4 linked regions of the Arabidopsis thaliana genome follow. The protein of the gene in region 1 interacts with the protein of each later gene in a pairwise test. Each region holds a gene or a part of one and is shown on either strand. Other genes may lie near its edges.

The links.
Region 2: the proteins of AT5G19570 (region 1) and AT4G01410 interact in a protein complementation assay, tested with the Arabidopsis thaliana proteins (one large-scale study listed by BioGRID).
Region 3: the proteins of AT5G19570 (region 1) and PIP1C interact in a protein complementation assay, tested with the Arabidopsis thaliana proteins (one large-scale study listed by BioGRID).
Region 4: the proteins of AT5G19570 (region 1) and PHT1;1 interact in a protein complementation assay, tested with the Arabidopsis thaliana proteins (one large-scale study listed by BioGRID).

What each region holds. Positions count from the first base shown.
Region 1 is NC_003076.8:6,603,790-6,608,742, reverse strand, and holds AT5G19570 (uncharacterized protein), read right to left. Parts: upstream 2,180-4,953; 5' UTR 2,005-2,179; coding exon 1,591-2,004; 3' UTR 1,422-1,590; downstream 1-1,421. Other genes in the region: AT5G19580 (glyoxal oxidase-related protein), read left to right, coding at 1-1,148; ROPGEF10 (ROP uanine nucleotide exchange factor 10), read right to left, coding at 2,613-3,017, 3,103-3,429, 3,514-3,786, 4,131-4,205, 4,308-4,462, 4,573-4,689.
Region 2 is NC_003075.7:575,873-581,728, forward strand, and holds AT4G01410 (Late embryogenesis abundant (LEA) hydroxyproline-rich glycoprotein family), read left to right. Parts: upstream 1-2,155; 5' UTR 2,156-2,435; coding exon 2,436-3,119; 3' UTR 3,120-3,415; downstream 3,416-5,856. Other genes in the region: AT4G01400 (oligomeric golgi complex subunit-like protein), read right to left, coding at 1-1,371; CBL5 (calcineurin B-like protein 5), read right to left, coding at 4,166-4,202, 4,429-4,541, 4,627-4,707, 4,795-4,847, 4,976-5,084, 5,158-5,217, 5,365-5,447, 5,571-5,646.
Region 3 is NC_003070.9:224,529-230,620, reverse strand, and holds PIP1C (plasma membrane intrinsic protein 1C), read left to right. Parts: upstream 1-3,077; 5' UTR 3,078-3,444; coding exon 3,445-3,772; intron 3,773-3,929; coding exon 3,930-4,225; intron 4,226-4,309; coding exon 4,310-4,450; intron 4,451-4,539; coding exon 4,540-4,635; 3' UTR 4,636-4,956; downstream 4,957-6,092. Other genes in the region: AT1G01630 (Sec14p-like phosphatidylinositol transfer family protein), read right to left, coding at 1-62, 162-272, 687-792, 897-1,192, 1,278-1,415. UniProt on the Arabidopsis thaliana protein: Water channel required to facilitate the transport of water across cell membrane. Its function is impaired by Hg(2+).
Region 4 is NC_003076.8:17,398,392-17,405,297, forward strand, and holds PHT1;1 (phosphate transporter 1;1), read right to left. Parts: upstream 3,768-6,906; 5' UTR 3,491-3,767; intron 3,264-3,490; 5' UTR 3,253-3,263; coding exon 2,852-3,252; intron 2,701-2,851; coding exon 1,527-2,700; 3' UTR 1,378-1,526; downstream 1-1,377. UniProt on the Arabidopsis thaliana protein: High-affinity transporter for external inorganic phosphate. Acts as a H(+):phosphate symporter in both low- and high-Pi conditions. Confers sensitivity to arsenate.

The sequences.
Region 1 (4,953 bases):
CTCTCCCTGACGGAAAGTTCTTCGTGATTGGTGGAAGAGACGCCTTGAACTACGAATACATTCCTGAGGAGGGACAAAACAACAGGAAGCTCTTTGACTCATTGCTCCTCAGGCAAACAGACGACCCGGAAGAAAACAACCTTTACCCTTTCGTCTGGCTTAACACCGACGGTAACCTCTTCATTTTCGCTAACAACCGATCCATCCTTCTAAGCCCCAAAACAAACCAAGTCATCAAGGAGTTCCCTCAGCTCCCAGGTGGTGCCCGTAACTACCCGGGATCAGGTTCTTCCGCACTCCTCCCCATCCAACTTTACGTGAAAAACCCCAAGGTCATCCCAGCCGAGGTTCTCGTCTGTGGTGGTTCCAAACAAGACGCGTATTACAAGGCTGGTAAAAAAATATACGAACCAGCACTACAAGACTGCGCCAGGATAAGGATCAACAGCGCAAAGCCACGATGGAAGACGGAGATGATGCCAACCCCACGAATCATGAGTGATACTGTCATCCTCCCTAACGGAGACATCCTTCTAGTCAACGGAGCTAAACGTGGTTGTTCAGGCTGGGGATATGGTAAAGACCCTGCCTTTGCTCCCCTCTTGTACAAGCCCCATGCTGCACGTGGCAAGCGTTTCAGACAGCTCAAGCCCACCACCATCCCACGTATGTACCACTCCAGCGCCATCATTCTTCCAGACGGTAAGGTTCTTGTCGGTGGCAGCAACACCAACGACGGTTACAAGTACAACGTTGAGTTCCCAACGGAGCTTCGCGTTGAGAAATTCTCCCCACCTTACCTCGACCCGGCTCTAGCCAACATAAGGCCAAAGATCGTCACCACCGGCACCCCAAAACAGGTCAAATACGGACAATTCTTCAACGTGAAGGTCGACCTTAAAGAAAAGGGAGCAACCAAGGGAAATCTCAAGGTTACCATGTTAGCCCCTGCCTTCACAACACACAGTATCTCAATGAACATGAGGATGCTCATCTTGGGTGTCAATAATGTCAAACCTGCTGGTGCCGGTTACGATATCCAGGCCGTTGCACCACCAAATGGAAACATCGCTCCACCGGGTTACTATCTTATCTTTGCCATCTACAAAGGTGTTCCCAGCACTGGAGAATGGATTCAGGTCGTCTAATGACGATAATTTTTACCCATTTTGTCTTATGACCGTAACATCTTAATATAAAACAATCACATAATATCAGTTTTTTTTTCCTTCTATATATATTGTTTATGCCACCATTAATGGATCCAAATTACTTGTGTTTTCTTTCACTTCTATAAACTTTTCCGTTCATGTAAACCTTTTCGGTGAGTTTTTATGACTAAATTTTGTATTGGAGAAATTCTTTTATTATTACTTTTGGCTCTATTCTTTCTTCACTAGTTCGGTTTTGCGTATAAATCATTCGATGCGTTCATTGCAAGTCACTGTTTGTTTCATTGACTAGTAATGTTAATTACCTTCGATAATATTGCAGAGAGTTAGCTAAAATTCTCAAAAGATGGTACACAAATAGTTCTTTCGCAAAATAGATCTCACAGAAACAGAGTCACGGTTTTACAAAATTCGAATTTCACAGAACACAAAGCCAAATTCCAAATACAATAAAGCTCGTACCTAACAAAGCAAGTCCGATTTGAGTTTCTTCCCCTAAAAGGATCCCAAAAGCGGCGGTTGCGGCAAAGGTTGTGGCGTTAGTCACCGGAACGGCAAGAGAGATGGGAGCGTGACTGAGAAGGGCGAAGAATGTGGCGGAGGCGGAGAGGTTTATGAGGAAAGGAATTGAGTATTGCCAGAAGAGGAGGAGATTGATCCAGTCGCGGAGAGCAATCATGATTTTGCGGCGGATCTGAAGAGGAGGAGAATGAGATTCTGTTGTCGAAGAAGACTTTGTTTTATCCCAGGCAAGAGCGCCACGACGGATCAGAGCATTGGTGGCTCCCCATACGAGCCCTACCGCCACCATCTTATCCATGTCTTCCTTCATCGCCGGTGGCTGATCCCGATTTGCCTTTTCCGTTGTTCTGTGTTTTAACCACTAAATGTTGAGTAAAGGAGATCAAAAAGAAGAATTATTTGGATATCCAGAACCGACCCGAACCCGAAAGGTACCGAACTAAACCCGATCCGAAAAATTTAAAAATCCAAATAACGGACCCGAATACCTGAATAGTCCGGATGGTAAACACAGATCAATGGTATTATCACAAACCACTAAATTACATGTCGTCATCAAATAATGTTTCATTACAATACTACTACACTACTAGTCATTATCAATGAGCTTCAAAATCCATTAGGAAACAATGTTGTAGATTAGACGTTACAATACAAAACACCAAAGAACAAAAATACCAAAATATTGTTACACACTGAATCACACTTCCTTCTTAGAAAAAACAACAGGAAGCAATAGTCAAAACAAGCAACAATCATGATCAAACACCAAGTCTCATGTCCAAATCCTAAAACCAATGCCTGCATTGTTATATATGTACATTCTCACACACTTTAACCTTCTTCTATTCTCTCTCTCTCACTCTCTTTGTGTTTTTCTTCTTCTATGCCCTGTTCTATTACCTTCTCTTTTCACTATCAGTGTCTGTCACTAGGGCTTCTCATGTTCTCTAACTTTGCTAGATATGAAAATTTCTTCGGTAGAGCTCTTGGAGACTTCATCATGGGCTTCTCCTTCTCCTGCTCAACTTTGTGGAAGAATTCTATATCACTCATTGAACTATGCTTCTTAGTATCAGATGACAATCTCCACCCTATGAAGTCTGATAGTTTCCTCGAGTTTGGTGTTTCCGCTGCAACCACCTTTTCAGTTTCCTCGTATTCTGATTCTGCCTCGCTTTCTGATCTTGTCTCTGCCTCTCCCATCAACTGTCTTTGAACTAGCCGATCGGCTTCAAGAACATCCTCTATTCTTGACATTATCTTTGAAGCAAGACTCTCTAGTACCCTTGAATAGCTCTCCAAAATCGCCTGTCCAACATCCTGTAAGATCAAATCACAACAAACTCTTACTCAGTCTCACTACATTTTTGTTGATGTTTGTTTAGTCTTTGTTATGTTATGTTACCTTGTTGTTTTTAATCTTGGAGACTTCAAGGGAGGATTGTGGGATCCCAGGAAATTGTTGTTTGAGCATAACCAAAATGGTCTCAGCTCGGACTTCGAAAAGCTCCCTCTTCTCTAAGCTAACAGTGGATCCCCACTGAGATTTCCCGTCTTTCTCTTTCTGGCACATCTTCCTCTTCCAGATCACCATGGAAGCTTCAATCCTGTTCTTTAGATCAAGTACTTTGTGTTCCGTTGACAAATCCAAGAAAGAGACAAAGTAGTCAGGATCAAAGCTCTCCTCTGTTATGCTCTTGTAAAGAAAATCTCCCAAGCTTGTCTTCCCATTCTACATAACCAACAGCCTCATCAGCTTCCTAGCTTAGTGGAAATTGTAAAGAAACAGAACACTTTTGAAGAAGAAGTAAGTAACCTTTGGAAGGGAATCAATGTAGTTTTCAGGAACGTGCATTTCAGACAATACATGAGCATTGATGGCCGTGGCGGCTTTAAGGACTTGAGCCACAGAATCTTTCTGATTCTGCAACCATCTACGTGATTCCTCAGACAAGCCATCTGTTGGAACCTTAACAACTGGTAACCACCAGTTCTCATCCCTCCTCCAATCTCCATTGTGATCTGCATCCTCCATATCTCTTGGCACATACCAAAAGTCTTTCTGATCCTTGAAGTTGTCCAAAGTTTCCTGCCAAATGAGTAATTGCATTAGTATGATAAATGGTCACAACTCATCTATTTTTGTTTGTTATATATATATATCATGATCATTTTATAATACATGCACTCCTATATGAAATTAATTAATGAGATGGTACTCTTGGTGTTATGACGTTTTCAGTTATATTTATCTTTATAATTTGCAAAGATGACTATGACTTGTAGTATATATAGTAGTTTGTCCTAGTGTCATGGATATTGTTGCAAACAAAATATTTTTGAAACGATGTGGTGTTTGATATAATATAATGGTTTAATTTTTCCCAAACGTTGAAACCGCGGTTGAAACAATCAAGTAGTAATTAAACTCACGAGAAGAACCGAGTCAAGTTTGCGTAAAGCTGGAATGTTCGTCAGCAAATCATCTCTTTGTTTTGTAACCATGATCTACAAAGGAGAAAATTAGGGTTAATAAGAAAAATCGTCACTAGTAGACTAGTAGTTGTTATATATGTACGTAATTAATGACTAACAGTTGCATGCATTCACCTCAGTGAATTGGCCATTTTTACCCATTTGTCTAGAAGGAACAAACTGGACAATGTGATCAATCACAGATAATAACCAACCCATTTCTTTCCTCCAATTCTCTTTTGTCTCCGGATACATAGGCTGCAATTTCATCTGCTCTCCAAACATCGAATCTGCATGCCAATACCAAAGCCACATTAATTAGTTTGTGACTTATTTTAACCATTCAAATCGTTATTAGACATTTAATGTTTTAATCATATTAGTAGTGTTAAAGGTTTACCAGCGAGTTTGGTGATGGCGTTTGACAAAGCTAACGCAGAGGTCTCCCCTGTCCCACCGCCTGACATGTCCTCTCCAAGAAGCAGTTTTGCGAATCTTTCCTTCATCACTTCCATGTCTGAAACAGATATCAATACAAAGATTATGTAAGGAATCCAACATAGAATAATATTAATTAAATAGTTATCAAAAATATATAAATATTAGTTAAAGAACTCATCTTTATACAACGATATTGGTAATTCTACTCTTACCAATTGATTTTCAGATCCAACCCATGCATCTTACACAAATGCAATCTAAATGCAATTCATTATGCTATATACAATACATCTAATGAAGATATTAATACATCTAATTCATTGTGGTTTTGGGATAACAT
Region 2 (5,856 bases), on another chromosome or scaffold:
TTTACGTTTCATCTGTAGCTTACTAGAAAGGTAAGATCCTAAACCGATACCGACATCAACGATTCTGGTATCACCGGTTATTTCTTCCTTTACAGCATCTTCAAGAAACAGTTTGATCTTCTCCGACTCATCTTCATTACAGATTAATGGAATTACCATCTCCCAAGTGTCTGAATGCAATGTTTCTCCGTTCTTCATCACAACCTCTACAACATCACAAGCTTCTTCGACTTTCCCGAAGCTACAAAACCCTTTTACCAAACAATTTGAAACCGAGAAATGAGGAGAAAACCCTTTGGATATCATCTCTTCTAGATACTTCTTCCCTTCATCAAACATTCCTTGATCACACAATCCTCCAATCAAAGTCCTATACGAGACCGAATTAGGCGAGCAACCGTTAGACAACATATCATCAAGAACTTTCCTAGCATCCATCGCACGATCTTCTCTACAAAACCCGAGAATCATCGTGTTGTAATGAACAAGATCAGGATTACAACCTTTTAACTTCATCCTACATAGAAGCTTATAAGCCTCTCTAAGCTGTGTCTTCCTACACAAACTGTTCAACAATGTCGTGTAACTTAACCTATCAGGCACGAATCCTTTATTCAACATATCATCAAGTAATTCCATAGCACCATTCACTTGACCTTTCCTACAAAACCCTTGTATCAGAATCTTATAAGAATCCACATCAGGGACAACATCTCTCTCAAGCATTTTACCAAACAGTTGGTATGCAATACTCAAATCATCATTCAAACAAAAAGCTTGCATCAATAAATTGTAACTTCTCGTGTTAGGCATTACTCCATGAAGCCGTGAACTCTTGAAAAGCTCAAAAGCTTTCTGGAGATAACCTCTATGGCTTACGAGAACATCTAGAATCCGATTCAGATGTTTTGGCTGCGGCGTGAAATTGAACTCCAGCATTTTGTAAAACGTACTTAAGACTTTCTCCGGTAACTTTGCTTCTGCGTAGACTTTGATCAGATAAGTGAAAATTTCTCCGGTTAATGGATAACCACTTGATCTGTGTTTGGCGAGAACGTCGTCGATAAGATTGAAATATCTACCACGGCCGAGTTTGAGAATGAGGATTAGATGAGAAGATCGAGAATGGCGGAAATTGGGCTGTTGAGAAGCATAATCGAAAATCTCCTTGGCGAGGAGAGGATCCGATTGCGAAGCTATGAGCTTTTGAACCCGAGTCGGAGACCCGATTGGGGATTTAGGGTTCGAGACAATCGGTTTTCGAGCTTCATGTTCAGATGAAGAATAGAACAGAAAACGCGAGGATGTCGATAACGGAGAAGTTAAGTGGCGAAAAACGGCGGCGAAGTCGTAGATCGGCCGGCGAATCATTTGTCGGAGTTTTTTTTTAATAAATCGGCCGTTGGAAGTGAGACTTGTATCAGTCAGCAAATTATCAAATATCTCTCTGTACACAATAGTTTTAGTGTAGGCCCAATTTTATAATGGGCTTATAATTGAGGCCCAGGTAGCATCCACAGCATTGTCGGTGACTACAGTGTCGGTGGTGCGGTATCTCAGTTAGTGTGATTAAATAACAGATTCTTCTTAAATGTGATTATTATTTATTTTGGAAGCTTACTAATAATATATGGAATTTGGTCAGAAGTATTGTTGGAGATGTGGACATAAAAGACTTGTACTTTTATTTTCTAAACATTAGAACAAATATGACACATGTGGTATCTAATTAATTTATTATTAATTGCTTTATACAGTTGATAAAGAATTGTGAAATATGATAATTTAATTTTCTTTCTACATAACCGTATTCTGGCATGCAAACAGATATTAGGTTATTGCTAACTTTGACAGGCCGTAACCTGATAAATTTCATTCTAATTTTTTTAAAAATTAACACGGCCAAAAAGTGATAGTTATCACGTTGCACGAAACCATAGTTGTCACCAAATAAGTCAATCATTGACAACAAAGTATTTGATTATGTATAGCCATATGTATACACGTTACATTGGATTTTTCATTTTTAAAAAATTCATCACTCATCAGATCCGTCACGTGAACGGTTGCACCGAGATTTGGAGTCTTTCGAAAGTACTTCTCTATCTTATATTATTACATTAAGTATTATAACAAAATAAAATCACAATGTAAAAACAGTAGTAATTTACGGCTACTTTATAAAAAGATTAGCTTTAACACATAATTACAACTACAAGCTTTCTAAGTTAATAAACAATTAATAAAACTGTACTCTAGAAGACTGTTTACTCTTATTAACTAGAAAAGAGACAAAACCTTGCATCTACTTATCTTCTTTCTTCTCCTCCTCCTTCTTTAGAGTCTTCACTCTTCACCGAACCCTCTGATTCTCGTATAGACACACACATACCTATACATACACACTTTAACACTTATATCTGTAGAGTATAGCCATGGGAGAAGGAGAAGCAAAAGCAGAGCACGCAGCCAAAGCAGATCACAAGAACGCTCCCTCCGCTTCTTCAACGCCAGAATCTTACTCTAAAGAAGGCGGAGGAGGCGGTGGAGATGCTCGCCGCGCAATCTGCGGCGCGATCTTCACCATCCTTGTCATACTAGGTATCATAGCCTTAATCCTTTGGCTCGTCTACCGTCCACATAAACCACGTCTCACCGTCGTCGGAGCCGCCATCTACGACCTGAATTTCACAGCGCCGCCGTTAATCTCAACCTCCGTTCAGTTCAGCGTTTTAGCAAGAAACCCTAACCGGAGAGTCTCCATTCACTACGACAAGCTCTCTATGTACGTAACGTACAAAGATCAGATCATAACACCGCCGCTTCCACTACCACCGCTTCGTTTAGGACATAAATCTACGGTTGTGATAGCTCCGGTGATGGGAGGCAACGGTATACCAGTCTCGCCGGAAGTAGCTAATGGTTTAAAAAATGATGAAGCTTACGGCGTCGTTTTGATGAGAGTGGTGATTTTTGGGAGGCTACGTTGGAAAGCTGGTGCGATTAAGACTGGACGGTATGGATTTTACGCCAGATGTGATGTGTGGTTGAGATTTAATCCATCTTCTAACGGACAAGTTCCTCTTCTCGCTCCTTCAACTTGTAAAGTTGATGTCTAGTCTTAATTTTACTTCGTTATGTTTTCTTTTTTAATCTTTGTGTTTTAGAATTGTAATCTTTTTTTTTTGTGGTCATGTTAGTGATGAGTTTCGTCGAGTCTAGTGTTAAAATAAATTAAAAGGCATAAGCCAAAAATTATAAGTACAAGTATATTACTAATTTTATATTTTACTTGTGATAATTATTTTGTTTCTCTGTTGTTGGACCTGTGGATGTTAATTAATGACATTTGACAATACAAATGTGTTGTCGCTAATAGCGTATCTTGGCATATGGTGAGTTCATCGACACAACAGCTCAGAGTGTTTGATCAGACATATGGCATCTTCAGGCAAATCTCATTTTGGTTTTATCATATATATATTTTTCCCCCATTATTACGGAACTATTTCCTCACGATTATAATTAAATACTTAGAATATTACTATGCTTTTCTGTTTTCCGATTCAATGATATTGTTTTTTTGTAAATCTGAATCGGACGTTAGGAGTCTTCTGAATATAAGTTACATTTTTTGAATGAAGCATCCGTTTAAAACGAGTGACTAAAATGATCGTGACTCCACAAGTCATCGCGTCAAATGTAAAATTTTCATGTGAAACAGTGAAAGCGTCAAATCTAAATAATATTGTGGATGATTGTTGTGAATTTGATTAGTTGACCTGATTCAAAAATTTGATTGGTATATCATGTCAATTTTTTCTCTTTGGTTTTGGCAACTTATATCATGTCCAATTTCTTTTTGTGTTACCATTTTTCTCGAATTTTCACACGTTTGTTCTTTTTCTTTTTCCTCTTTTCCTTTTCCAAAACCCCATTTTGTCTTCACGAACCGATCTTTGCTTTTAAGTTTTCATATCACAGCTTTAGCTTTGTGGTTAAAAACAATTACTTTCTATCCTCGTTAAATATTAAAGATTTCTTTCGATAGTTAATATGTTTATATAATAATTAACCTTCTATATTTCTTATAACAAATTACCTATGTGATTTTCGGATAAAAATATTTTTAAACAAAAACCTCTAGCAAACACCTCATCTGATTTTACCGGAGAAAGGTTGGGAAAATCCTCGGAATGTCCCTGTACAATAAAAGTTAATTTTAGAATAATTATCTCGATTTATAAAACAAGAAAAATAAAATAAAAGAAGATAATAGTAATATATGCATAAACACACATATATAAAAGCTGTTTTTGAAAGATGTATATATATTACTTTTTTTGTAAAACGAAAGATGTATCTAAAACATGCAATTTATCAGCGAATATTAAGAAAATGGTTAGGAAAAACAAACAAACGAATTACTTCAAGAAAGGGATAGTCATGTTCTTTAGTGTCAAAGGATAGGTGGCAACAAAATTCTCCCATTCTTCCAAATCTATTATCCCATCTTTTTTCCAATCGGCCTCTTCAAATGTCTTTGCCAAATATAAGTAAACAAAAATAGTAAGTAAAATCACTATAATGTTAAATCAAGCTCATAAACTTAAGCGTTATACACACCTTAGACACGATAGAATCAATGATACTCTCGGATAGCATAAGTTCTGATTCCTCTAGAACGTCTATTATCATCTCTTTCACCTATAGATTTCTCCAAGTCGAGGAAAACCGTCAAATATAATTAATCATGACTTTTTCTTTTTTTTGAGACAAAGTTTACATACGTACCTCCTCCGGTTCAATGAATCCAGTCTCACGAGTATCGTATAATCTAAATGCAACTGTTTAATTTTAAACAAGTGATCAGATGTATTTGTGGTTATAGTTAATAACATTGATCTCTAGCTATATAGAAAATAATAATAACATGGAATAAATGAATAAACACATTAGAAGTGATGAAGCATACATATGGCCTTATCTCTTGGTGATGAGTTTGGGTGAAAAATGTTGAGTGTGTGTACAAACTCTCCAAAATCTATAGCCCCATCGTTTCTCATATCGAATAATCCAAAAATCTGCATATTTCAGAGAAACAACATCAATCGAAGTTTATTTATTTATTTCGCTTAATATAACAAATTCAATTACCCGTTCTGCAGAAAGACTGCGCTTTTTGGTATTCTTGATCAAGATAAATTGAAATTTTTCCTGGAAAAGCCAACCAAATTTGACATGACAAAAGCACAACTTTTCTATAACTAGCTAGTATAAAATTTAGATGTTATATTATTCACATTTTGTTGACCAAAAAAAAATTATTCACATTGTGGAAGAAAAATTAGTTTGGACTCTAACTTTGGTCAAAAGATTGTCGTTGCTAAGACAAGAAGTGAGTTTGATGAACAATCCATGCAAAACTTCAACCTCAGCCTCGCTAACTGCAAACCCAAAACAATTTAGATGTTATCTGATCTACAAGCTCGTGTAATAATATTCTTTCTCCATGCAATATAATATATAGGAGGAGGAAGTGGTGGATGATTGAAGTAGACGTAACTTACAAAAGGTTTGAGAAGCAAGAAGCGAAATGTCTTCTTGCCTTCTTCCTTCTAATTGCTTGCTGCAAACACATCCCATTTTACTATATCAATATATATTTCAAATTCCACATACATTTAAGTGTGTCTATATATATAGGCATCAACGTAGGTGCAAGAAATTGTGGAATATAAATCTATTTCTAACCGAACAAATTCGAAAGTGGAAGGGTTTGTACATTGCCGGCTTAGGAAGCTGGAGACAAATGGTATAATTTATATCGGAATTTGATACTAGTTCTTTTTCTAT
Region 3 (6,092 bases), on another chromosome or scaffold:
TGGCTTTCGTCTATGTCTTCAAGCAGCGTTGGAGTGAGTTTCTTGTTCTCCACGAAAACAATCTGCCCCCCCAAAAAAACACGAAATTAACAATCAAATTTTCCAACACAGTCTTAAAACATACTAATAAAGTGATTGTGAAGCAGAGCAAATCAATGTACCTTTTTCTTGGTGTTGGCGTCGATAAAAGGATAAATGACCTTCCATGCGGTCATGAAAATGTAGGGGGCATGAACTATATAGAGTTTCCCTAATCTCTCTGGGTAACAATCCTGTAAAACAAGGTTTTCTTAATGTGGGGGTTACTCACTGTCAGGACTCACGACCATGAACAATATTACTAACGCAATATTTTGCTAAAAATAGGATTACAATCATGAAAGTTCCTTTTCAAAAAAAATCCATAAACAAAGAGAAACAAAAAAAAAGAAGCCAAGTGTGGCCAAAAGGACCAAAATAACAAAAAGACCTTTAACCTGATCACCTACTCCAAAATAACAAAAACACCTTTTAAAACATAGTAAATAGTACTGACGAACAAAAGGTTTCTTAGTTGGAAGTCAAACTGAATTCTCTATATTTGGAGTTAAGTGGATTATTAGCAATATTTTCCTTTATTAGTGATAATTGCTAAAAACCTAAATGTTTGTTTCAAAAGATATGATAGGCGAATTAAAGGAAGTAACCTGCAAAGTGGAAAGAGCAGCAAGGTAGCCACGGATGTCACAATTAGAATATCCCCAGCCTTGCAGATCTCCAATTGCTACGAATTTCTCTTGACCTCTCGGCATTCTAACATGACAACATTCAAACAAACAAAAAAAGAGCATTAGCATAAATGGTTTCTTATATACCCACACTAACTTAATGTATGTAGTAATATTATTATTATTCACCTAGCACAAATCTTCTCGAGCGTGTAGACAACAAAACGCTTGAACTCGTCAGGGTTGCCTTTGGAAGGGTTATGTCTGTTCCCAATGGCAACAGCGATAGGTCGACCCATCTTGTCATGACCTTGCATACACATCTTGTTATGCGATAGATCATTTGCAATCTCTGCTTCTGGTATGTGCCCCTTTGGGAGCATGCTTCTCTTCCAAGTCAGGTAATTTAGAAACATCGTTGAAGCCTTTTCAATGTCCAGGTCACGCGCTCTCAGAAACCTCCTTATCATCAGATCATCCACCTCCTGCAAATCCAAATCATTAGGGCTTTTATCAAATCAATACTTTTCTGGTTGAATTCTTTTTTTACTTAAAGAAATCGATAGGGACCTTAGTTTCAGGATCTTGTCGGTCGCAGAGAGCTCTCATGATCCCGACTTTGCTCCTCTCGATCTCATCTTCGATCAACGGAACGGTCTTTTGCTCAGCTGCTGCTGCTGGTTCTTGCTTGGTCTCTTTGTTTTCCATTACGTTTCTCCTGTGAGCGACGACCAGATCTTGAAATTGGTAGAGAGAAGAAAGAAGTAGGATCGATCATAAATGAAGACAGCTGCTGAGAGAAAGATTTTAAGTGTCATTCAATGCAAAGTTGGGCTGCTTTCCCCTTCAATGGCGACGCTCACCAACTACTCTCTTCCTTACAAAAATTCTACTCATTTATTGACTAATCCCAGGTCCCCGACTCTACAGGAAGAAGACGATTATATCGTATTGGGCCTTATTAGAGCCTATTGGGCTCGAGTTGATTTGTCGTAAAGACTTGGTCTGTGGTTTAATCAATCTCTCATGCCTCAAAGTGTTGACTGATTCAGAGGCCGTTTTAGTGTTTTGAGCCCACGTCAGAAGCTTGTCTGTCGTCTGTGTGTATAAAACAAAATTCAATTCACGATTTTTTAAAATATTGATCGTATCTTTTTCCACATGTATGTAAGCAATGAAGGATCTGCTTCGTTGCAAAATATTAGTTTTTCTTTTGATAGGCATGTACCAACTAAGTACCAGCTACGTACACAGACAAAGTCAGTAACAATTAAAATTCATCAACCTAGTCATTGCTTGTTCATCAATCAACCTAATCATTTGTTTGCTTGTTAAATAACAATGCCAACGTTATTATTTCTATTTCTATACTATCATACATTCATACGGTCCACGCCTCTAACAAAAAAAGATATTGATAAAATTTAAAAGATAGATAATTCGATGAAATGAATTATAATGAAATGTGATTTGTACAACTGAGAAAGGATGTCATATACGGACTTTGGTCGGGACCGCCCCAGTAAACACCACCAACACATATTTGCCTCTTCAACCACGTGTCGTGATTCTGTTGGTTGGGCAGCTAGACGACTGTGATGTGTGTGTGTGGGTTGCGTTTCGAAAAATGGCAAACCCCACCACTAGTTCAATAAAAGGTGTTTCTTAATCATATAGTTTAGCTTCGGATTATTTGTTTCCCTTTTCAGTTTTTTAAAAATCGATATCTACAATAGAGTTAATCTGTTTATAAATTCAATTATTGTTCGGGTAAGACAACATCAACAAAACTAATAGGGTTTGAATCCTAAACACTAAACTCCATTTAACTAGTAAAGTATGGCTCATATAGCGTTAAAAATATGTGAATTGATAACAACAACAGAGTTTTGAATTTTATTTTTGTTAGGTTTGAATAGATTGATAGAAAAAGGAAAGTGGGAATAGGGAAACGAACATGTGATCACAGAAAAGCAAAATCCATTTCTGAGCTGGAAACCCCCGCAAAATTGAACCTTATCTCCAATTTTCATTTTCTTTTTTTCTAAAATATATATCGTTTAATTGAAAAACCTCAAATTCACAATCATTGTGATTATTTTGTCACTAGTAGTACACATAGTAATTTAATTAAACATTTTAAAAATACTCTAGGCCCGGCACAATGTTCGAGACTATGTTACTTTACATAAAGCAATCGCTTTCCACACACTTCTTTTCCTTTTCTTCTCCAACGGTCGGAAGTAAATTATTAATTCGTCGACTAGTCAAAAAGTTAGTCCTTTGTGAGTTTTCTGGCACTGTAATATTTTTTTTTACATTTCTAACTGCTGACTGAGTAGTACTCCTGTAGCAAGGCATTTGAGAATAAATTAGGTCAAACATGCTATCTTTATAAGGAGTTTCAGAATATAATACTAATAGTTAGCCAACGCAACAGAATTAGTATAAGCGTGGGTTGTGTTACATGATTAAACATCATCAAGTAGTAGGCTATTACAATTATTAACGTAAATAAATATGCTTTTACGAAGATCATCGTTATCCATGATTCCCTGTATTTCTCATTATTTAAATATATCATAATAGTTTCGAGACGTTAGTTTTTTTTGCTTTTTCTATTCTCTCTCTCTCTCGCCTCTATAAAACCATTCTTTCTCTATCTCAGCCACTCTCATTACCCATTGTAGAAAAGAAGAAAAAAAGCAAAGAACACTTGAACGTTTTCTAGATAGAGATGGAAGGGAAAGAAGAGGATGTTCGAGTGGGAGCTAACAAGTTCCCGGAGAGGCAACCGATAGGTACATCGGCTCAGACGGACAAAGACTACAAGGAGCCACCACCAGCTCCATTTTTCGAGCCAGGCGAGCTGAGTTCGTGGTCCTTCTACAGAGCCGGAATCGCCGAGTTCATAGCCACCTTCCTGTTTCTATACATAACAGTATTGACAGTGATGGGAGTGAAGAGAGCACCAAACATGTGTGCCTCTGTTGGAATCCAAGGCATTGCTTGGGCTTTCGGTGGCATGATCTTTGCCCTTGTCTACTGTACTGCTGGAATCTCTGGTAACCCCATTTTTTTTATCTTCTTAATACAAGTAGAATTGGTCTTTTGTTGCATGCTTCAAACCCTTGTAGCTCTGCTTTTAGTTTTCGATTTTTCTCAAAGAGATCTTAATTTAGAGTTGATTCTGATGAGTGTGTGTGTGTGTGTGTTTCACAGGTGGGCACATAAACCCAGCGGTGACATTTGGTCTGTTCTTGGCTCGTAAGCTGTCATTGACGAGAGCTGTCTTTTACATCGTGATGCAATGTCTCGGAGCCATCTGCGGCGCCGGAGTTGTCAAAGGCTTCCAGCCAAATCCTTACCAAACTCTCGGCGGAGGAGCCAACACAGTCGCTCACGGCTACACTAAGGGCTCTGGTTTGGGTGCTGAGATAATCGGAACCTTCGTCCTTGTCTACACGGTCTTCTCCGCCACTGACGCCAAGAGAAGCGCTCGTGACTCCCACGTTCCGGTATAATTTTGTTTTGATTCCTCTTAATTTATTGTTTTGGGTGTTTAGAAAAAGATTCATAATTTAGGGTTATTTTTTTTGCAGATTTTGGCACCACTCCCAATCGGATTCGCTGTGTTCTTGGTTCACTTGGCGACGATTCCAATCACCGGAACAGGAATTAACCCAGCTAGGAGTCTTGGAGCTGCAATCATCTACAACAAGGACCACGCTTGGGACGACCACGTGAGTACCCCATTACATCATTTGGTTGATTTGTCTTTCTATATGTCTTTGTCACTTTGGTTTGATTGTGGTTTGATTGTGGTTTGCAGTGGATATTCTGGGTCGGACCATTCATTGGAGCAGCTCTTGCGGCTCTTTACCACCAACTTGTCATCAGAGCCATTCCATTCAAGTCCAGATCCTGATTTGATTTCTTTCTTTATAAAACTTCATTGTTGCATCTTGGTTTGTAATTGAGCTTGAAAATATTTGAGAGATCTGGATCATGTGTTTATTTTAATTAATGGACTTGTCTTTTTCTTATTTGCTGTGGATGATCTGGTTTTATCGTTAAATGGAGTTTGATATTATGATTGATTTGGTACGATTTTAATTTTGCTTTTGTCGTTAGACTCGAGAAATTTTCAAGAGGAATTTGTTAATTTGATTTTCTTCTGGTTTGGTTCGGTACAAATTGAGTAAGATCCATATTGTTTCGGCTTGGTTTCTCGGGTCATCGACTCAACTAGTTTACGTGGTATTTAGCCCATATTTACATTGGGCCTCTTGCGCACTCTTTATGGGCCACGTTAACCAAGTGGGTATTAAGCCCATTTACATTGGGCCTTTTTCGCACTCTTTATGGATACAACTAGTATCCCATAATATGTCCATCAACGGCATCACTCCACCTTAATTTGTTGCGATAGATAGCCAACCAAGTTGAGATAAAACATTCTTACTTATTCTACAATAACCTCGTCAAAGTGGATTACCTACCCACTGCTTCACACCTTTTTTTTTTTTTAGTTTTTACTTTTCAGTTTCATATCTTCAAAGTGAATGTTTATGATAAGTTTGTTATCTTCTTGGAAATAAATTCTATTTCATAATTTTCATTGTACATAATTGCATGCATATTTTGGTAATTTATCTCAAACACACATATATGTATACACGCATAAGTCACTTTTCTTTGTAAGCTAAGGTTCACGTGATGCAGTTTCAATTTCCATAGCGTGTAAGTAGTTATTATACTCATACTAGGGGAATACTGTTACACTCATATCCGTAAGTATGAATGCATATGGCTCAATGGCTCTCCAACTCCCAACTATTTTACCGTTTTATTAATATACCATTGACATTTGAGTGACCATCCATGATACGCGGACAAAGAAAAAGAAAACCGTCTTAATCCCTTAATTATTATAAATTAAGGAGTTAATTATTTAAACCTAGTATAAAGTCAATTAACTCAATTAGCATTATAACTCTGTCGACGGCTCCTTGATACGTAAATATTGCAATCAAAATTAAATGCTACCAATATATAAAAGTCATTTTCATATAATTAACTTGGTCAGGCGGCCGTCGACTTTAATGTTTCACGTATAGTTGGATACTATATAGTATATACACACAATGCCAACCCACATATTATAAATTTATAATAACTCACCCAATTAATTATACAGCCTTCCATTTAGGTGAACTACTAAACTACTTTCTTTCATGTCAATCAACAAAAAGAAAGTAACTGAACCGCGTGTGACCAAAATTATATTTATGTATACACCAAATTCCATCATCTAATAAATACCCTAATCAAATAATCACTCATATTAACTTAAATATATTAGAAAAAAATAAGTGTCAATTG
Region 4 (6,906 bases), about 11 Mb from region 1:
TAATTAAATATTTTCATACCTAAATAATTAATGTCAGTAGCATGACATTGTAAATAAGTTCAAATAAATGATTTGTTTATTTAAACAAAAAACGTTTAGTAAGAACAATATTTATTTAAACAAAAAACTTTGTTTTAAAATATTGTTAACAAAATACTTTTATGCTAATTTTAAGGGATTGATGTGAAGTTTGTTTGGATTAAATTTGATTGATAATGTGATTGACAATTTAAATTAAAAATTTAAAGTAAAACTAATTATTTTGAAAAAACGATTTAATGCTAATGGCATTGGGTTGTAAATAAGTCCAACTCGAAGATTTATTTGTTAAAATGGCTGCAAAAATATATATATAGATGATCTAACAGATTTTAACATTGGATGGATTACTTTAAGATGGTTTGATTTGATTGCTGAATTACATTGGAATATGTCACAATAAATTAAATACATAAAATTACAAAATAGAACTTATTAAATAGAAAATATTATGATTATGATTTATTATGTAAACTAGCAAACTAAAATTTCTGCAAATATTTCCCCAAGCTGAACAGCGTGGATCCTATCTAGTATTTATGTATAATACAATAAAAGAACTCCAATTTAACTGTTTTCAATCTTCTACGTACGAGGGTTTCCCGTGGATACCGAATCAAACAAAAATTCACAAATCCAAAATAAAATTACATTAGTAAAATTGATGGTATTATTTTGTTTTACCGAATCAACGTACCAAACTAAATCCAAAATGGAACTCAAATCTTGAGCAATTCAAACGTACAAACCAAAATACACTAAACTGTATATTTTAAATTAAATATAAAATACATTTAAATTGTATTTATATACCCAAAATTTTCAGAATATATGTAACTTTATATTTTTGTAACAGTTTTCAATTCAAAATCTACCCGTACGGTACCTATACCAAAATAAAATTACATTTGACAATTCAAAATTTTGGAGTTTAAGACATGTTTCCTAAAAAGCTTAAACCTAAAAACCCCAAACTCAAAGAAGTTAAACCATATAACTTAACTGAAAAAAGCATGTCCAGACCTATTTCTCGCAACAATAATCAGGTACATTGGACTTCTACACCACGATAGAAGCTCGAACAGAATCCACAATCTCCTTCTTGAGCGACATAAGAAAAGATTCTTTGGAAGCTTTTATTATGGTGTAGAAGTCACATTCTTGTGTTTTATTTTGTTGCCCTAAGCTCTAGTACTGTGTAACTGTAAATGTTGCTCTCTTTGGATAGATCAGATCTAAACTTTGAATGAAATTCATTAGTTTTCTAATATATTAATATAAGTAAACGACTAGATCTAATTTTAACCTTGCTTTTGGAGTGAATATATAAGCTTGTTTCCAGAATAGTGAGTCGATTTCGAAATATTAGACAAGATTTAAATGATATCATAAATATTCTTATAACATCATAACTTAAGGTCAACGAGCCAATAAAATGAAAACAAAACCAAACATCGCACTCCAAATAACAAAATAAACATACATAATTATTTCTCGTCATGGCTAACCTCAGCCTCACCAGAGAGTTCTTCAAGGGACTTGCCTTTGGGCTCTGGGACAAGGAAGGTGAAGAGCATACCGATAAAGTTAAGAACACCAAGCATGATCAATGAGTTCTTAACTCCGATGCCTGGTGGGTATCCTGCGTCTACCTTGGCCTTGTCTTGTGATTGAGCCGCATATAGGAACCCAAAGGCTCCAACAATGGCTCCAGCCTTACCAGCCGCGGCTGATATTCCATGACATGTAGACCTTAGCCTGGCCGGGAATATCTCAGCAGGGACAATAAAAGTGGTTGCATTTGGACCAAAATTGGCGAAGAAGAAAGTAAGAGAGTACATAACCACAAATCCGATACGGTTTTCTGGTTTGATCCAGTGGTTGTAAGGGAAGGCAATGGCAAACATAAACACGGTCATCATGAAAAATCCATTTAGTTGGATCTTAAACCTTCCAATGGTATCAATAAACGCAACTGTGAACCAGTAGCCTGGGACTGTACTGCAAAGGGCGATAAGAGTCTGAGCCCTAGCAATCCTGAAAACCTCATGGGTGGCGTTCATGGTGGCTGCCTTTGGGATCCATCCGATGGCCGAGAAAATATCCTTCTGGAACAAGTTTTGGCTGTAGAAGGCAATGTCAAGCAAAAACCATGTGGAGGTAGTTCCAAGGAGATGAAGCCCATGGCGTCTAAGGAATTCCTTGGAGAACAAGCCATAGTTTTGTTTGGGGTCTTTGACGTCATCCTCCACCCTTTCCTCAAGCTCGATATCTGTTTGTAAGACCTTGGACATGTCGGCTGTGGCTTGTTTGATGTTCTTGGCAACCAAAGCGGTGTAACGGGCAGTTTCAGGCATCTTCATACGCCAGTAGTAAGTCAAAGCTGCGGGTAAAGCACCAAACATGACGATGATTCGCCAAATGTAGTCAACTTGAGGAGGCGTTGAGAGGGCCCTGTTTACTGCATATGTTGGAGCTGGGAACTTTTTGTCGAATATAGAAGATACTGCGAGTGCCACGAAACCTCCAGCCAAGATACCGACACCTTGCATGGCGAAGACAGCTGCGATGAAAGCCCCACGGGTCTTCTTGTTTGCGTATTCAGACATGATGGTGGCAGAAAGTGGGTAGTCACCTCCAATACCAAATCCCAACCAAAACCTACGTAATGGTTTATATATAAAAAAACTTTCTCAAAGAAAAATACCTAAATCAGTTCGAAGCGTGACTAACTTTTAAAACTTGCATTCGTTATTAGATTATTGGTTAATCATTGTGTATATATAATATTGTAATTGGATGAAAATTGTACCTGAAGAAGCAAAGGGTGGTCATGACACCCTTGGCTTCGTGGCCAAAAGAGAGACCAGAAGCGACAGAGCACAAGATCATCATTACCAAAGTGAGACCGTACACTTTTTTCCGTCCGAGTTTGTCACCGAGCCAACCGAAGAAGAGTTGACCAGAAAGGGTTCCACAAAGGGCCACACCGTTGACCGCGGCCGCAACATGAGGGGGAAGTGAGCCAGGCTTCGCTGACTCCGGATTGAAATAGTAGATGCGGCCAAGGAGTTTCGTCACCAAGGACACGCAAAAAAGATCGTAGGCATCGGTAAAGAAACCCATACCGGCGATGACAATCGCCGTGAAATGATAAAGTTGCGTCTTCGCAACATCGAGTGCCTTTAGCACTCCTAGTTGTTGTTCGGCCATTTCCTAGAGCTCTATAATCATACAACGCAAAGAATCCAAGATTTCATGTCATTATTTCTCGCTTATGAAATATTTTCATTTGGAGACTTAAAAAATATCATGGAACAGAGCATTTGACCTCTCAATGGCCAAAATTTTGAAACAAAACTTGATATCTTTGGAATTATGAACAAGAAAACTCAACTTGAAATGGTATATACACAAATTAAATATAGACGACAAAGGAAAGTAATATTACCTTAATCAGCTTGGCAGGAGAAATTAAGAACTTCTCTGGAGAGTTGAGGAGAGACTATATGTGGTCATTAGAAATGAACAATTATGCTGGCCATTTATAGAGAAGAAGAAAGAGAAGCACGTTAAATGTAATAAAAAAATGCTTTTTGAAAAGGAAAGATATGTAAGCAACGTGATCGCCTCTTTCTTCATAGTTATTATTTATTTTGTAATTTCATTTTGGATTTTAGAATTTTAGTCATCAATACTCCCTCCGTATGTTTATAGTTGATGTTTAAGATTTTTGAACACCATTTGTTTCTGAAGTAAAATATTATTTACAGTCTATTTTATATTGAAAAGTATAAAACATCATCTAAGCTGGACGATACGCCTTCCAGAATATGAACACCTTATACAATAAATCTCTCTAGGATACGTGAGATGGGATGATTTTTTTATTGTATGATAGTTACGGATTCTGATTATTATTTTGAAGCAGGAAACGAAGTTTTAGCAAAAATTTCTGTTTAACCATCTCAATTACTATATGGAGACAGATTGATATATGAGCATTACTATAGATATGCATTCCATGTAAATTTCTATAAATAGAAGTAGCTAATTTAGACGTTGTACACACACAAAAAAAGAATAAAATAAAATCAAAAAGAAGTAGTGTAGACACGAATTCAGTTTGTAGTTAATCTTGTTGGCATTACTTGTAATCGTTGACCAGTTATATATATTTATGTTTGATTCCAACTTTGCAATTATATTATTCGCAATATAAAATGCATTTCTAAAATTAAATAAGGAGAGTTGCAAGCTCTAATCATTTATTTATTGTTTCGTGTAAATCTGAACTACAAGTTATTTTAGAGCCAATATAAGTCGAAAGGTTTTAAATTTCTCCATCTTCCTCGTTTTCTTTGTTTTGTTTTTTGCAGTCGAGTTATTCAACTCTAATAGTTGACATTTGAGGAGTGACAATCAGGATACATATAGTCATGAAGATTAATTATCATTTAGCAAAGTCAAAATCATTATTTTAAAAAAGCATATTCGAAAAACATAGGATATTCGCGAGAACATAAGCATATAAATTCATTTTAACAGATAATTCATGCCTTAGTGGACTTAGTTGCCATTACATATACATAAATAAGGATTTAATATCAACCAATCCAGCTCAGACCATATATATATATAAATGTGAGGATTGTATTTGTTTTAAATGACGGGTTTTCTGGACTTCGATATGTACACGTTAATGTTTTAAATGGTTTGAATGTTTTGTTGTTATACGAGAGGTATTACATGCATAAATTAAATATAACCATAATAACAACAAAGATTAGGAATTTGATAGTAGCTGTGTAGTAGAGATAAGCAGTCAAATAAATATCATAAATGACCACTAAATATCGATTGATTACATTTTGTCACACAAAAAAATAAATGTAGAGATCCACCATTACGAACATGAAATATCACATTACGCATCGCAAAAATAAAGTAAATCGTAATAGAAGATGTAATTCATCGAACCAATTAAGAATTTGAAAATATTATGGCGTAATCATTTCTCAACCTCAGCCTCACCGGAGAGCTCTTCAAGGGACTTGCCCTTGGGCATTCCTATTATTTACAAGGCTACAAGCAAAGAAAAAGAAAAGGCCACTTAACACATGCTTATAGTAAAAAAAAAAGAGAGGATATTTTACACATGTTCATAATATAAAAAAAGCCTCTTTACACATGTTCATAGTATAAAAAAGTGTGATCAAACAAAATATAAAATTGGTTATGTTTAAAAAAAGCACTAAAAGTATTAAAGCATCAAAGATCAATGCAATTTTTATATATGATATTCCTTGCATTTATATATGTACGTAGACTCATCCATCAAGTTTTTTTTAGTCAAATTTCTATCATATCCTTCATATGTTGTTTTTATGAAGAAACAATGATTAAGAAGTAAAGAAAAAAAACTTATCAGAATAAAACATGAATTTGTTACAGTTAAACCACTAATGAATTATAGAATAAGTATGAGATACAGAGACAAAATAGACAAAATGGATGGATTTGAACTAAAAAGCTGACAGTTTAAGGACCAATAAACCACACAATGCTAGAGGAAGAAAAGGAACCAAAAGATTAATTGCAATTGAGGTTAATTATTTATAATTTAGTAACTAATTTTTTTTTGACAAAAACGGAAGAAGAAAAACTGTAATAATATCGGCATTTGGGAGATTCGAACTTAAGAAGTTAAACAAAACAAGGACCAAGTTTTCCCTGACGCGAACATTGGACCATAGAACAACTTCAGTATTTGGAGGCCGAAAATGTAATTATTGAATAATCGGCTGCAAGCATGGGCTTGGCCCGCTTGTGCTCATGGCCGGCTCTGCCCTTGGGCTAAGGAACAAGGAAGGTGAAGAGAATACCGACAAAGTTAATGACACCAAGCATGACCAGTGAGTTCTTGACTCCAAAGCCATGTGGGTATCCTTCGTCCGTCTTGGTCATCTCTTGCGGCTCGCATATAGGAACCCGAAACGTCTGACTATGTTATATAGGGGTTCAAGTGCAACGTCTATATGCTAAAATAAAGAAAGAAATCGCAACAATAAATGAAAATATGGCCGTTGAAAATTGAATGAGAGAATCGGCCATACTAGGAAAGTTGTGATGTGTCTTGAGTCTTGATAACTTAGGCATCATTAATTGTAGGAATCTTCAAGACCCGCAAAAGATGATCAGAATATAGTCGTTGTGATATGATCTCATTCGGCTCTGGAAAAAGAAAGTTTTGGCTCTGTGGGTTCACATAAGGAAAAATGCACCAAGGATTAGTGTGAATGGTTCTGGGTGGTGTATAGGATGTCCAGGCTTCCATATGTGGCTCTGGAATGCACAAAAGGGAAGGAAAGGATAGCTTTCCTTAGTTTGCACAAGCCCTAGGTTTGCTTGACACTGCCCTAGGTTTTGTAGTCGTTCATGTGCCTACAGTTTGGTTATGATCGATTAAATCAATATCAATATTCATAATATGCTATTAAAGTCATATTCAGTGAACTTGGACGTCCCTAGACTTACTCGCCTAAGCTATCAAGACTTAAGAGAATTAAGACTTTCCTATTTCGGCGATGGACCACCATTTGATGTCCAATGTCTCTTCCTTTTTGTTTTTTTGCGAATTTTCTTACTTTCTTATTTGGCCATTAACCATCATCACGTAAAAGGGCACCAAACAACGTCATTGCATCCGGAAATATGTTTGAGTTCTATGGTCTTGTTTACCGGGCAATGATGTCTTGGATCTCGAGAGATTAGCTTTCTTCATGAGAGAAAATGGTAGATGTTACTTTCGGGTTGGCCGTGGGCATCTTTAATAAATTTCATTTGCATGTGTATCAGAAGAAGGTG